Rhinolophus ferrumequinum: one gene and its partner. The protein of the gene in region 2 interacts with the protein of the main gene of each other region in a biochemical or structural test. Links are inferred from orthologs where the notes say so. Each region holds a gene or a part of one and is shown on either strand. Other genes may lie near its edges. The genes, in order: SERPINA5 and PLAU.

Region 1 (7,669 bases), on a different chromosome or scaffold from region 2:
TTTGTCCCTTCCCCTCACAACTATGCTAATTTTATAAAAATGAATAAAATACCGGGGGGAATTGAAACAAGGCCCGGTTGGCACCCCCATAGTAGATGCCTTTCGGGTGTCCCTGGCCTCACCTTTCCTTGACCTCCCTATAGCTTAACAACGGAACATCCCCCTGATGGTAGAGCTCAGAATGACCCCTGTCCCACCCAGTTCCCTGTTTCATAAAATCACCCTGACACTTACCGTTAACACCCTTAGGCTTATTGACCACAATCTCTATGGTCTAGTATTCTTTCCAGGATACTCCCATCATTGTTCCTGGGTTGCTGACCTCACCAGAGAATCGCCTGGCCAGAGGGAAGGCTCCAAGCAGAACCCCCCACCCCAACCCCCATCACGTAGCTTAACGTCCAGATTTCCCTTGGATACCCCAAGCCAGTCGGAGGATGTTAAGGCAGTTTTTGGATGTGTTAACCCACTGCCTCTTCAGACCACGGGTGCTCTGATAATAAACACTCATTCTTATAGCCAACTCCTGTGTCAGTCTATTGGCTGAGCTGCACAGGCGGCACTCAGTTGGCCTCCCATTTGAAGCAAAGCCTGACTTGGCTGACTCTCTCCTGGGTCCCTAAAGTCAGTGTTTCTGCAGAAATGCCCTCACATGTCAAAGGGAAGGGAGCGGAGCACTCAAGCGGTGCCCTCAGTTGCGTGCATCCTTTGGGCACACTTCCTTTTTCACTGCCTCAAGCACAGAAAGCCCCAGCTGAGCCCAGGGCCCTTGCACATTCTGCTCTCTGCTGGAACCCTCTCTCCACCTTTCTCACCAGGCCAAAGGGACTTGAGTCAGCTGGGGGTGGGCAGGCCCTGGGCAGACCTCCCACTGCTCCCCTAACATCCATGGACCCCAAATCTGCTGTCATTCATTTTAAATGCTAGATAACAAACTCCCATCCAGGTCAATTTTGGACTCAGCTGCCGGAGTTGTGTGGCTGAGGTGGGTGTGTCCACAATCTGCTAATTACAAAAATACATGTAAGATGGAGCCCCGGCAGAGAGACAAAAACCCAACTTCCCTTGGGACCTAAAGAGCCAGGGGCAGAGCTTCCTGCGAGCTGTGGTCTAGGGAACTTTCCTAACCCCGCCATCTTCAGACCATCAGCAAGGCTTGTCAGTTTCTAGCTCCAAAGTGTGTCTTAAATCTGCCTGCTTCTCCCCAGTTTTCCAGCCACTACCTTAATGGAAGCTCCTTCCATCTTTTACCTGGATCGCCCCACTTCTCCTGTCCCCATGAGCCATTCTACAAAGCATCTGAAAGAATCGCCTTCATTCACAAAGTCACAGTGCTCCGCTGCCTAAGAATACTGTTGCTGCCCATTCATTGCAGGGTAAAATCTAACTCTGATTTGTGCAACAACGCACGGAGCCCCATGCCGCCGGGCTCTGCCCAGCTCTCACCAGCCTCAACTTGACCTGCTCTGCCCTCAGTTGTGTGGGTCCTCTGGGCGCACTTCTTTTTTCATTGCCTCAAACACAGCAAGCCCCTGGGCCTTTGCACATGCTGCTGGAACCCTCTCTCCACCTTTCTCACCAGGGCTAGCATCCCTGCAGGCCTCAGGCTGATGCTGGAAAGTTTTCCCCTTGACACCCTCTTCATGCTTGGTCCTCCCTCTCCACTGGCCCCTTCATTGTTTCTTTTATCTTTCAGTCAATTATATAAGCACAATTACATATGCATTTGTTGTTGGCCTCTTTTGTTCCAACTTGTCTCACCCACTAGGATACGTGTTCACAATAGAAAGGCCCCTCATCTGTCCTCCCTGCAGTCAAGGGGTGGTGCTCCGCTACCTTTGTGGAATGAATGAATGAATGAGTGAATGAACCCGTCTCATTCTCTGTAATTCAGAGGTGTCGGACCACATGTTAGAAACACAGCCAGGCGGGGCTTCCAGAGCTGAGCTCCAGCGGCCCTGGGGCTAACTCGACAGGTGACCTTGAATAACTCCCCCTGCTGCTCAGACGCAGTTTCCTGTCTTTTTCTTTTTAAATACCACTTCATTAAAGTAGGATTTCATGTGTACAACCTGATGAGTTTGGAGGTAAGTATACATCCGTGAAACCATCACCACCATAAACGCATCCATCACCTGCCAAACTTCCACTGTGTTGCCTAGTCTTGACTGTGAAGGAGGATATTGGCCAGGGGAGCAGTTTCCCTTTACTGTTGCATTTCTTGCCAAGAGCCTCATCCTTAGAAAAACTAAAAATTCCACTCATTTTATATTTCTGTTTTGTTTACTTAACAAATGGCCAAAAAGCTTCTGGAGCTGGAGCAGCTGCCGAGGAGCACACTGGGTGGCAGGCCCCAGACGGGGTGGCCTTATCTTAGGGAAACATTATCGTTGATCATTTCTCCTGCTCTCTAAAGGATAGCAATTCCAGGCACAGAGAACAACGCAAGCAATGCTTTACGGAGCACCCCGTGTACCAGATATTTGTCCCCACTTCCTTAAGCTTCCTCAGCCTCAGCACTGTTGGCATTTGGAGCTGCATCATTCCCTGTCGTGGGGGTGGCAGTGGACTGTCCTGCTCATTGTAGGATGTTTAGCAGCCTCTCTGGTCTCTACTCACTGGACGCCAACTGGACGCCTCCAGTTGTGACAACTCAAGATCTTTCCAGCCTCGGCCAGATGTGCCGTGGGGATAAAATCATGCCTGGGTGAGAACCATCACCTTACTTAATCTTCAGTCACACCTTGCAGAGGTGCAGTACGTTGCATCTTACCTATAAGGAAACTGAGGCTTAGCTAGGTTTCCTGCTGTGCCCAAGGTCACCTCTGCCGTCTCAGAGGCTGACTCTTTCCTCAGCACTGCGGGGAGTTTTTCCGGCTCACTCTGGGACACCTCCAAAGCTTTCAAGCCCTCCAAACCCCATAACTCCAGAGTCCATTTCTCAGCCCTCCTCACACACACTCATACCCACAGGTCCTCTGTCGGCAGTACCTGTACTTACTCTGTCCCGTGGCCCAGTATGCACACAGTGGAGGCACAATGGTCTGTGGGGCTCTGGAAAGCGCAGCCGGCTGGCTAGAGTGGAGCCAGCTTTTGCCACTGACCACAGCAGGGACCTGACTCCACCCCTCCCTGGCCCCGCCCCAGCCAGCCCTGCCCTGTCCTGTTGTAGCCGGCTTCCAGCCAACAATTAGGCTGTGGGCAAAGCCACCTGAGCTCTGACCAGGGCCACCCGCCCACTGCCCTGCAAGCCCCTGAAGGGGAGCAGAGTTGGCCACCCTAACATATGCCCCTTTGGGGATATTGATTATTCTAAGCTGGTTAATTTTAAGACATGGCAGTCTGGGGAGAAGCCTTGAAACCCACTTAGAAGTTCCCCTTTGTGAAAGGACATTTACACTTGGAACGTACCAGGCCTGATGGAGACGGCCTGGACTGAAACCTGCACAACGACCTGACCCCTGTTTCCTGTGCTTTTCCTGGTCACCGTTCCATAACTGACCCCCCTCCCAACCCCAACATTTTGTTTTGTCTTTAGCTGAAGGTGGTATTTAAGGTGGTGGCTTCAGACACCATTTGCCTGCAGTGGCACAGGAACTCCTGGGAGAAGAGGCTAGACAGGCAACCAGCTGCCAGCATTCCAGACACAGAGAAAGGGACACCCTCTGGCCGACCGCCCTTTCGCCAGGCTGATACCTTTGTTTCCTGCAGTCAATTTGCTGTAGATCTGGGGAGTGGCATATGAATTCAAGCTCCCCACAGGCCTACGTGCTTACTGTGTTCATGGACCCACCAGCCAGATTCTCGTGGAAATTAGAGGGGTCCAGAGAGTCTCACGATGACTGAAAAGAAGGGATCATTGGAACAACCCCCCGTTCTTGCGCCAGCAACTGAACTGAGGCTCAGAATGATGAAGGGATTTTTCAGAGTCCTGCATCAAAGCAGGGATAGAGTGGGGCTGAGTGTCCAAGCTTCCGACTTCAAGGTCAGTGCTCTTTGCTTAAAAAAGGGCTAAGATCTCTGTGGGGTCAGCTCGACTGTCCTTTTCTACCTTGAAAGTGGAGCTCCTGAACTCAGCCCCACACTTTCAAGAGTATTTCCACGATGCTGATGCCGACTCAACCCTTCATTCCTAGGGACTTCCTAATACTGGGGTGCACTGTGTGTAGCCATGATCCAGAAGGTTGTGGGGGTGCAAGTGGGGTGTGCAGTTGGCAGAGGAGACAGAGGACCAGGCATTTCCCAAGGGAAAGGCTCTTGATGCTCAGCAACACAGGGTCTCTCTACAACCTCTGAGACAGTTCCCTTTCTTTCTCCATGATTTTAGGGTCTGTTTATGGCCCATTTTCTCTTTGAATGCTTACAACAATGCTACAAAGGGGATCCTCAGCACTGCCTCAGTCTAGAAACAAACACAGTCCCTACCAGGTATTGAGTGCCTGCTTTGTGTTCACGAGGCCCTGGAAGGTGGGTACTAGCATCCGCACCAAGTCAGTGAGAAGGTGGAAGCTGAGAGTGGTTAGGTAATCAGCCCAACCACTCTAGGTAATCAGCACACAGCTAATGAGGAAAGGCACTAGCAAGGGGGTAGCTGGGTCCCTTCTGCCTAGGTTTTGCTTTGTTGCTATTGTGCCATGTGACATAAGCAAGAATCCTTTATCTCATAACGTAGAGATTCCTAAACTATGTTCTATACCAGGGGTGTCCAAACTTTTTTCAACATTTTTCACCAAGGGCCATATGCGGTAGAATACACAAACAGCCGGGCCACTCACTCGAGGTGAAGTACGTATTGCCTCACCTGGTTTATTTAAGTAAACTAAATATAGTTTTGGAATTTGCTGCGGGCCAATTAACAATGGATTGCGGACCAAAGTTGGCCCGTGGGCCGCAGTTTGGACACCCCTGTTCTATAGGATGGAAATCATTATTACACACCTGTGGTAGAATGGAGACTAGCCCCCACCCCCAAGATGGCCATGTCCTGATATCTGAAACCTGTGAATGCTACTTTATACGACAAAAGGCACTTTGCAGATATAACTAAGTTAAGATCTTGGGGATTATCACAGATTACTCAGGTGGGTCCTAAATGTGATCACAAGCATCCTTATAAGAGAGCGGTGGGAGGTCAGAGCCAGAAGGAAGCAATGTGGTCATGGAAACAGGAGAACAGACAATGTGATGTGAAGCCATGGCCAACGAATGCCTGAAGAAAGCCCTGTCAACTTCTTGATGGTGGCTCTGTGAGACCTATTTTGACTTGTGGCCTCCAGAACTGTAAGAAAATAAATCTGTGTTGTTTGAAGCCACTAACTTCATCATAATTTGTTGCAGCAGCAACAGGAAACCAGAACAATAGCCCAGAATATGTCCCAGCTGAAATACTTGGGGAAGATGGGAGTAACCAAGATACTAAAAGGCTTCTCCAGTCTGTGTGTGCTATTCGTGTCTCCAAGCTTGCATTTTAAGGAATGTCTCAAATTTGGGGGGATGTCTGTAGCAACCCCTGACTCCACATTGCTACTCAGAAAGGGTTCTGAAGGAATGGGGGTGGAGGATGGGTAAATTTTGAAGGGAGAGGTTTGAGGGCTTCTTAGAACATGATGCCCTCGTGCTTTAGTCTGCTAGAGCTGCCATAACAAACTACCACAGACTGGGTGGCTTGTTGAACAAACTCACAAAGAGTCTGGAGGCTTTGGCTAGAAATAAGTGATAAATAATTTTTCAAGGGATTTAGGATTTGCAAACTATAAACGAACACAACTAGGCAATATCCAGAGTGTTCTGAAGAAGAAAGAAAAGCTAAGAGTTCTTATAGAAAAAATTATGTTCTTGAGATGAATCTGTCCTCCACAATGAGCCTCTGGATTGGTCCCAGATGGTCATCCTCCAGAGGACCAGTGGTCTGGGAACTGGATGTCAGGTGGTCTGGGTACTAGATGTCAGGTGGTCTGGGTACTGGATGTCAGGTGGTCTGGGTACTGGATGTCAGGTGGTCTGGGTACTGGATGTCAGGTGGTCTGGGTACTAGATGTCAGGTGGTCTGGGTACTGGATGTCAGGTGGTCTGGGTACTGGATGTCAGGTGGTCTGGGTACTAGATGTCAGGTGTTCTGGGTACTGGATGTTAGGTGGTCTGGGTACTAGATGTCAGGTGGTCTGGGTACTGGATGTCAGGTGGTCTGGGTACTGGATGTCAGGTGGTCTGGGTACTAGATGTCAGTCAGACTGAATACTGGATGTCAGGTGGTCTGGGTACTAGATGTCAGGTGGTCTGGGTACTGGATGTCAGGTGGTCTGGGTACTAGATGTCAGTCAGACTGAATACTGGATGTCAGGTGGTCTGGGTACTGGATGTCAGGTGGTCTGGGTACTAGATGTCAGGTGGTCTGGGTACTAGATGTCAGTCAGACTGAATACTGGATGTCAGGTGGTCTGGGTACTAGATGTCAGGTGGTCTTGGTACTAGATGTCAGGTGGTCTGGGTACTGGATGTCAGGTGGTCTTGATAACTGAGCATTCTTTCCTTAGCCCTTTAGGGAGTCTTCAGAGGGTTATCTGGAGGTCTGATCTATGTCCAGGCACGAATACAGGACTGGAAAGTTCAGATGTTTTTAAGTTCCCAGGCTAGTTAAAAAAAAAAAGAATAGAATCAGTTCCTCATATCTCAATCTACCTGATTTTGGTAATTTGGCAGCTTGACAATAATGTCTCTCTTCAGTCTTTTCTTCAGACTTAGCCAGAGGAATTTATTTCTCATAGTTCTAGAGGCTAGAAGTCCAAGATTAAGGTGATGTCAGCGTTGGTTTCTGGTGAGATCTGTCTTCCTGGGCTATAGATGGACTCTTCTTGCTGTGTCCTCATATGGCCTTTTGTGCACACGGGAAGAGGTGGGGGAGGGGGAGAGAGAGAGAGAGATCGAGCTCTGGGGTCTCGTCCTCTTCTAAGGACACCAGTCCTATGGGATTAGGGCCCCACCCTTATAACCTCATTTAACTTTATTTATTTCCCTAAAGTCCCTGTATCCAAATATAATCTCATTAGGGTTTGGGCTTCAACATATGAATTTTGGGGGGACACAATTCAGTCCATCACAATGGGGATGAGAGCACGGGATGGGCCAGGGGTCAGAATATTAAATGGACCAGATGGGTCATAATCGATTTATTTTTCCACTGATATGAAGAAAAACAAAGCGCACCATCCCCGTAGTGATACATTAGGTGGGATTATCGCTATTTTATAGGTGAGGGAACTGAGGCACAGAGCGGCAGCCCATGGCATCATAATGAAGTTCTAACCCTCAGTGCCTCAGAAGGTGACTTTATTTGGAAACGGGGTCACCGCTGATGTAATTAGTTAAGATGAGGCCGTTGTAGAGAAGGGTGGGCCCTAATCCAGTATGACTGCTGTCCTTATAAAAGGGGAAATCTGGACACAGACACACACTCTGGGAGAACGCCATGTGAGAGGAAGGCAGAGGAGCACTGAAGACTGCCAGCCACACCAGGAGCTGGGGGAGAGCCTGGGGCAGGGGGTCCCTCCCCGTCTCAGAAGGAACCTGTCCTGCCCACTCCGTGATCTTGGACTTCCGGCCTCCAGAGCTGTGAGACATAAATTTCTGCTTGTTATTGTTAAGACAGCCCTAAGAAACTAACACACTCAGT
Region 2 (7,914 bases):
TCAGGGACTCTACAGAGGAGCACAGGCTCCTCATATATGTTATTCTGAACCCTTCCCCACCTCTCCCTTTGTAAAATAGTCTTTTCAAGTTCCAATACAACCTCAACCTCCCACTTCTCGTCTTGAGCCCCTTTCCCCAGCCATCATCATGACGGAAGGTGAAGGTTTTCCACTTACCAATATCGTTGTGGTGAGCAAGTGTGTCAGCACTGTAGTCCTCGTGCAAGATGAGCTTTTCCACCCTAAACCTCATCTCCCCAGGTGTAGCGGAGTTAAGATTTGACCGACCCAGGTAGACAATGTAGTCCTCCTTCTTTTGGTAATTACTGTGGGAGGGGAGACCTGTCAGACAGTCTGATCTCATGAGATCCTGTCACTTCCCCCTCCCCACCGCAGTGACCTCAGAGCATGACTTGTCTCCAAGGTCATGGGCCACACGGAGAGGGGCTAAGAGGGGAGAATTGAAGTGGAATCCTTTGCTGGGACGGAGAAAGGGAATATGCAGTAGGGCGGGAAGGTGAGGAAGAAGAGACAGAGGGACGTACATGAAGCAGTGTGTGGCACTGAGCACCCAGCAAGGACTGATGAGGCTGCCACCGCACACATAGGTGACAGAGCCTCCACGGTGCCTCCTATAGATGGCTGCAAACCAAGGCTGGTTCTCAATGGAGGTGGTTTCTCCCCCGACAATCTTAAAGCGGGGCCTCAAAGCCTTCTGGCCACACTGAAACTCTGCTTTTTCAGGGGAAAAGGGACTTCTCCCTGGAGGAGAAAGAAAGGAATGTCTTAGGGAGGCAGGTAGGATAAAGTGTCCCTCTCCTCATCCTCCGACCTCCCAGTTTTTGGAGGCCAGACTGGCCTCCCTCCTCACCGCTCCTGTGATGGAATAAGGGGACATGAGTTTGTCCCCTCCCACCTCACCATCATAACCAGGTCTGTGATACTCACCATAAGAGCAGTCGGGCAACATGCACTCTTGGGCGAACTGCTTTAGGCCAACCTGCACATAGCACCAGGGCATTCTGTGGTTGTTTGGGTTCCTGGCAACAGAGGGGAGGGGTGGGGGTGTTTTTTCAACACAGAATGACATTCTCCCCTGCATCCTTCCTGCATCCTCCCCTCCAAGGAAGACCCAACCAGAGGCCTTGCTTTTCTCATGCTATGGCCAGCACTCTGGAAGTAGAAGGGAATGGTAATAAGGGCTTCTGTGAAGTCATGGGGAAGGTCCTTGCTGCCCCCACCTCACCTGCAGTAATTGTGTTTCCCCAGGCCCAGCTGAAGGGCATCAGGTCTTTGGGCATGGTACGGTTTCAGAAGGACATTGGCAGAGTTCCAGGCCAGGCAGGGCCGGGACTTATAGTCGGTGTTGGCCTTCCCTCGGTAAGATTGACCATTCCCCTGATAGCAGGTATTCGATGTATCTACGGAAGGGTATGAGGATGAGAGAATGTCAGAAAGAGGAGGAAGTTCAGACAGGCATTTCAGAGATCCTACCAAACCTCACATAATTTCAGGTCTTGCAGAAAACACTAGAAAGGGTCTCCTTCCATCCCACCTCACATTTGTGCAGCCACAGCTTCTCGAGACAATGTGTGTTTAGGCTTGACTATGTATATCACATGGGGATGAAAAGGTCCCCCACTCCACCTTCAGCTCTTAACTCCTGCCTGCTCTGGCATCCCACTCATCTCTCCTCGCCCCCAAATCTCTGGTGCAACCCCCTCCCAGTTAAAGGCAGGATCTCCATACCTATCTCACAATGCTCCCCTTGGAATTTCTTTGGGCAGTTGCATCGCTGAATGTTAGAGAAGTACTTGTAGGACACACATGTTCCTCCATTCAGACAGCCACAGTTCACTGAAAAACACAAAGGAGGGGGGGCGGGTAAGCAAGGAGAGTGGGAGGAGGCAAGGGTAGAGCCAGCCCTGCATCAGGGACAGGGATGGGCTGTCTCCTGAGGCTTTTCCAAGATATTTGTGCAGCCAGATATTGTGCAAGGGGTGGATACTCACATGTACCAGATACTCGTTGAAGGTCCTGGCTGCCCTGGAAAAGATGGAGGTAGAGGGAAAGTTTACCAAGGGTACCTTGCTCCTGGGACTCCAGGGTGAGGATAAACTGGCCCCAATCCCCAAACTCATCTTTCCTCCAGCTCTCTCTCTCTTCCCCATCCTGTTCACATCTAACTAGCCCTCAATGGAAGATCATAGATTTCCAGCAAGGAGAAATGGATTGACTCAAGCAAGCCTCACGTATCAGATGCCAGCAGGCTGGGGCAGTCCCAGCAGCTTCTTCCTCCCTTGCTGCCAAGTGTTAACTCCCTTGGTTCTCAAGGCCCCCACTGCCACACCTGTCCTATTCCCCCAGAGGGGTCTGGCCCTGCTGTTGATGGAATCCAGGGAACCCCAGCTTCTTATGCTGCCCCCTCCTTTCCCAGGCGCTGTTCAGGGGTCCTGCAAGCCCCCTCCAGCCTCCATAAGTCAAAGCAGAGAAGCCACTCACTTCAGAGTTGCTCACGACCTGGGCACAAAGGAACAGGCACACCAGTAGGAGTGTCATGGTGGAGAGGCTGGGGCTCTAGACAGCGGTTCTGCAAGGGAAAGAGAAGTCAGGGGAAGAAGCAGAGGAGCAAGAAGGCGGGCCGGGTGGGTTACTGCAGTTCAGGGCAGGAGCTACCAGGTCACCTGAAGGGCGAGCCCGCGGTCGTCTCTCCTCTCTGGGGGTTCAGGGGTCCCGGGACAGCCTGGACCGGCACCCCCACGGGGACGCAAGGACACGCGGAGAGGCGACTCGGCGCGCAGCCGCTGCACTGCTGGAGCAGCCGGGTAGGGGGAAGGGAAGTCTGCGAGAGCGCGAGCCGCCGCTCCTCCGCCCAGCGCTCTTAGGGCGGCCTGCACTCACCGGCGGCTGCGGCGGGAGGGGCGCGTGGCCGGGACACCGGGGACAGGTTGACAACGCTGACTCTCGGCGAGGTTCTGGGGCTCCAGTCTCTGCACTGTGCTGCTAGCCCGGCTCGCGGGCTGTTTATTAAGAACCGCCCACGCCCTGGCCCCGCCCCGGGATCGCCCAGTCCACTCCCTTGCCCTCCCCTTCCCTGGAGCCGGCTGCGACCCCGACCCTGCGTGGTTCCTCAGCTAGACTGAGGACGAGGAGCTGCACGGTCCCCAGCGGAGGGAACGAACTGAGAGATTAAGGGAGACAACTAGATTCCCCGCCACTCCTCCCATTCACCGGGCCTGGGCTCCAATGCAGCCCACCCACTCACCCACCCAAGTGCGGAGTGGAGAGGCGCCCGGCACTCTCTCCCTGGTCCAGCTCTGATGCCTCCCCCAGATCCCCTAAATCAGCTCTTCTCCATCCTTTCAACCCTCCTCCCACAACTGCCTGGGAGAATGAATGAGAAACCTGGGTGCAGGGACATGGTCCGCAGCTCATACAGCTGTGAAGTCTTTTTCTCAATGGGAAAATCCGCGTGACACACGCTCGCTGAAAACAGACCAAAAAAAAACCTGCTAACGGGGAGGGGGCTGCTTCTGTCGAATGCCCGCTCCCTAAAAATTATCAACCCAACAAGTGGATAAGACAAAGCTGAGATGATTGCTTACCACCTTAGGGGAGTTTAGTAGTATATGGGGCAGGAGGGAAGGCAAGGTTGGATTTTATCGAGAATTTGGAGTTTGGTTTAAGGGTGGTCTTTGAAAGTGAGGGTTTGGTAAGGATTGAATAAGGGTCATGACACAATATTGTAGGACTGTGCAAACACAGTCTTAGGGCACACACGGTTGATGCTTTTTATTGAAGTGTTGATGGGTCTTTCAGGAAGTTCCTTTAGTGAACAACATGTTTATCTGCGGGGGGGATTGGTTAGAGTATAGTTAGTTAATAAAGACAATGACTAGTAAAGCCTTATTAATGTAGTCCGTTTTTTATGACCTCTGAGGAGAGGAACTGGGGAACTGGAGGACAAGAATGAGAAGATTTATTTCACACTGTTTAAAATTTTAAAAACACATCTTTGCATCATCCATTCCAAAAAGATAATTACAGATTTTCCAATGTACGTGTATTTAGTGTGCTACTTCATCACAGGGCCTTGTTTCTAATAAGATAAAATAATTGCTTATCAAATAAGATTGGCCTCCAGAAACACAGACCCCGGTGTAAGTGTAAATGACTCAACCTGCTCTTCCCGCCTCAGGGTGAGTGCACACAGTTGTACTCGGGCATATGCACTGGAACATATCCCTCAGGCATAGATTCCACCCAGCAGGATTCTCCCCCTTGATGGGAGGGGTGGGGGCTGAGTCCCTACAACTCACTAGGGGCCCAAGGCTTGATCCCTCTCCCTACCTAAGCCTATAGCATCTTGAAGCCTGGCAAACCTGGACTTTGGGTCTGCATCCACTTGGGAGGGGCAGGAGGAGGGCAAGGAGAGAGCCAGGAGGGTAGGAAAGAGGAAAGCCTCTTTGCTCTGCTCCAGTCAGAGGACTGAGGATGCCAGCCTCTGCCTGGGGAAAGTGCAAGTTAACCATCCAGCTTTGGGGAGGCAGATGACCCATTATCCTCCAGAGACAGTTTGTGCCTGGCTGAGCTGCCATCCACCAAGCAGATTGACTAAGTCAGAGGTTCTGTAAGTCTCAGTACCAGCCTTGGGCATGTTTTGTTTGGATTTAGAACTCATTAACTGTAAATAAACGTGACCAAAATGTAAACAGAGGTGTTGCAGCCTAAGGACTTACCCCGAAACTCCTAGGTTAGTTATCAGGAAATTCCCAGCAGTCTGCCATGATTCACAGAGCTCCCCAGCAGCTCTCATGACTCCAGATTACTTGGAGTCTGTCATGCAGATTTTTGAGAGAAGGATGACCTCATTTCCTCCCCAACAAAGAGGCTCCAAGAGACCGTTATGGAGTGTGACACCCCTCCCCCCCTCCTTCCTCCTGTGGCCTCGTCACCTGGTTGAACAATCCTAGAGCCTCCAACCGGTCACAGAACTTCCTCCCCACTATGATCTTTCCCACACTCTGAAATCTCCGTCCATCCTTTGGTGCACAGTCTCTGCTCATCTTTCAATTCTTTGAGGGCAGAGACTACATCTTAAATATCTTTGTCTCTCCCTCAGCACTTGTGCATCCCTTGCTCACATAGGTGCTTTATTATGAATGAATCAGTGAACAAGTGGGAACAGAGAGCTTTGGGGCACGCTGGAAGTTTCCGTCCTCTATCTTTTTTTTTTCCTCTCCTTGCCATAAAAAATGGTACTGGCATCGTTTCTGTCTTGTGCTGAAAAGCACTTTGACACAAATCATTCCTCTTTAAACTCATAACTGCCTTATGATGTTAGGGATCATTCTTCCCATTTTGCAGATGAGGAAAATGAGGTGGAGAGAAGATACATAGTTGATGAGTGGGAAAGCCAGCACGAGGACCCAGGTTTTCTGATCCTCGTTCCTGTGCTCTATACCTCAGCGCCTCCATAAGAGAGGGGTACAACACAGAATTCTGCGAAGAGAAGCTCCAGATGATATAAGATGTTGAAATTCAGAGGAGACCTCCCGCTGGCCTTGGAGAGCTCCTTCCAGAATCACTCCTCAGGCTATGAGCTCTGAGCTCCTGGAAAGCCCTCGCTGTTACATGAGTTAGTTGTTTGCCTGAGTTCCAGGAACTAACTTGATGGTTTAGGCTATCTGAAGTTTCTACCAAGAGTGAGAGAATAAGGAACTGAATATATGTGATTTCATTCTGTTTGGACTCCCAGACTAAAGCCACCAGCCCCGTGCCTCTGTGCCTCAGGGATCCAGATCTCCTGCGTCAGATGTGGCAACAGAGACTAAGAGAGGGACACCCTTTCCTGGAGCTGCTCATTAAAGAACAGGCAGATGCCAGGTGTGCAAGGAGGACCAGGAGGTCTGAATTTGGCCGAGACTGTGTCCAGGAAACTGGACTCCTGAAGGGCTGTTTTCTGGCCAGCATGACCCAAAGGGAAGTTAATGTCCAGTCACCGGATTTGTTGCTGAGTTGCTGTACCAAGACTGTTCAGCGTGGTACCATAGAGAGAGTGCAGTATATAGCTCTGGATCTGTCACGTCCAAATTGAATGATCTCAGACAAGACACTTATTCTCTTGAGCTCAGTTCCCCATCTGCAAAATGAGGCAAAGCCTACTCCACCTGTGCCTCACTTTGCAGATCGAATGAGATCATGCTTGTGTGGTGAAAGCGTTCCTTCATTCCGTTATTCTTTCACTCATTCAATACTTATCATGGGCCTACGATGTGCCAGGCACAGTTCTAGATGCTGGAGATGGAAGGATGAACTTTATAAACTATAATTCCTACTCTCAGTGTACGCCTTGCCTTCCTGATTACGGCTATACTGGCCCAGAAAACCAGTGCATTCTCTGGAGTACCATTCCAGGATTCAAGTTAAGTGGAGATGCTGTGTCCTTAGTAAACTGTTCCCAGCAACTCGCCAGCTGCATGTGCAGCTCAACCCCACAGACCGGATTCCTACTCCCTCCCTCTCCTCTCCCGTGTCTGCGGCCAGAAACTCTTCTCTTTCTTCCTGCACAAGGGAAAGGCAGACTCCTCTGCGGTTCTGGGAAAGAGGCGCTGAATGCTGGTCACAGAGCTTCCTTAGGTCTGAGGACTCCTTCTCTACGTGTTTAGTGCTGAGGGGGAAGATGCTGTTGTCACAGAAGGCACTGAAAGCCCCGTCTTCCGCCTGTAACATGATAGGGGAGCTGCTAGGCCCCCAGTGGCCAGTGGAAAGAGTGGGGTGGGGGAAGCCACATACCTGCTTCCTTACTCATGGGAAGCAAAGAGCCCAGGGGCTGCACCGTGAAGTTATACTCTGTCATCAATAACATCATGAACGGAGGGGCCGAGTTGGTCCCTACAGCTTTAGCCTATGCCCCCTGACCCACCCTTTCTCACCCTTTCCTGCCTCACCATCTCTGACCCAATTCCTAGCCCCACCCAGGCCAGTCAGCTCAGACCTCTGAATGAATATTTTGAGGCTTGGCCAAATTTTTCCTTATCCTTAGCGTAAACCCAGTTACTTAATAAATCAAGAACTCACTACCTGAAAGGAGTGTTGGTCATGATGTTCCAGACCGTCTGGATTCTGAGTCCCACCAGGAACCAAAGCTAGGCCCAGGCTCTTGAAATTCTGCTTAGATCCCAGGCTATTATGTTGGATGTCACTGGAAGCTAAAGGGGATAGATACCCAGGAACAAAAGGCTAGAATGGGAAACCAGAAACTGGTGGGTTTCCTGAAAACTGCCAAGAAATCAAGGACGTTTAAGGAAATACATTCAGCCAGGAGCCAGTATTCTCAAAAATTTGTTCAGAAGAAAACCAACATAACATCCATAGCCCATATGATGTATAATTTCATGTGTTCATGGCTTTCCCCAGCTAAACTCTGTGTGCTTCTCGGTCTTTAAAATAAGTGCAAGCACTTCCCTTTCTATTACACAGAGAGGAAAATAGAGGGCTAATAAAGGGAAGTGAATCATCTGAGTTCATTCACTGAAAATGATGAGATTCAGAATTCACCGATTTTGCAGAACTTCATGACACATTTCCACCCTCTCTACTCCTATTCTGAATCTTTGCTTCTCCCTTCCTGACCACCCTCAATCTCACCCTCAGTCTCTTTGTCTTCCTACTTCCTACCCACCTGCAGAAAGTACTTCTTTGCTCCAAGCACTGATTGAAGGCAGCGTGATGAGGTAGCTCTCAGAGTCTCAGTTTCCTTATTCATAAAGTGGGAATGATATTGCATCTCCCTCATTGAGGATTAAATGAGATAATTCATACAGAACTGTTACCCAATGCCTGCTAAATATAAGTCCTGGGAGAGGTCAGTCTCTTTTTCGAAGGTACCAAGTACTGTAGGATGAAATGGTT

Evidence for each region.
Region 1: the proteins of PLAU (region 2) and SERPINA5 form a complex in vitro, tested with the Homo sapiens proteins (2 studies listed by BioGRID). The link is inferred for Rhinolophus ferrumequinum from reciprocal best matches to the Homo sapiens genes PLAU and SERPINA5.

The regions. Positions count from the first base shown.
Region 1 is NC_046289.1:8,630,935-8,638,603, forward strand, and holds the start of SERPINA5 (plasma serine protease inhibitor), read right to left. Parts: upstream 3,121-7,669; 5' UTR 3,002-3,120; exon of another isoform or gene 2,992-3,001; intron 1-2,991. UniProt on the Homo sapiens protein: Heparin-dependent serine protease inhibitor acting in body fluids and secretions. Inactivates serine proteases by binding irreversibly to their serine activation site. Involved in the regulation of intravascular and extravascular proteolytic activities.
Region 2 is NC_046299.1:51,259,490-51,267,403, reverse strand, and holds the start of PLAU (urokinase-type plasminogen activator), read right to left. Parts: upstream 3,039-7,914; 5' UTR 2,902-3,038; intron 2,591-2,901; 5' UTR 2,560-2,590; coding exon 2,503-2,559; intron 2,047-2,502; coding exon 2,013-2,046; intron 1,858-2,012; coding exon 1,750-1,857; intron 1,422-1,749; coding exon 1,247-1,421; intron 1,041-1,246; coding exon 949-1,040; intron 763-948; coding exon 546-762; intron 327-545; coding exon 178-326; intron 1-177. UniProt on the Homo sapiens protein: Specifically cleaves the zymogen plasminogen to form the active enzyme plasmin.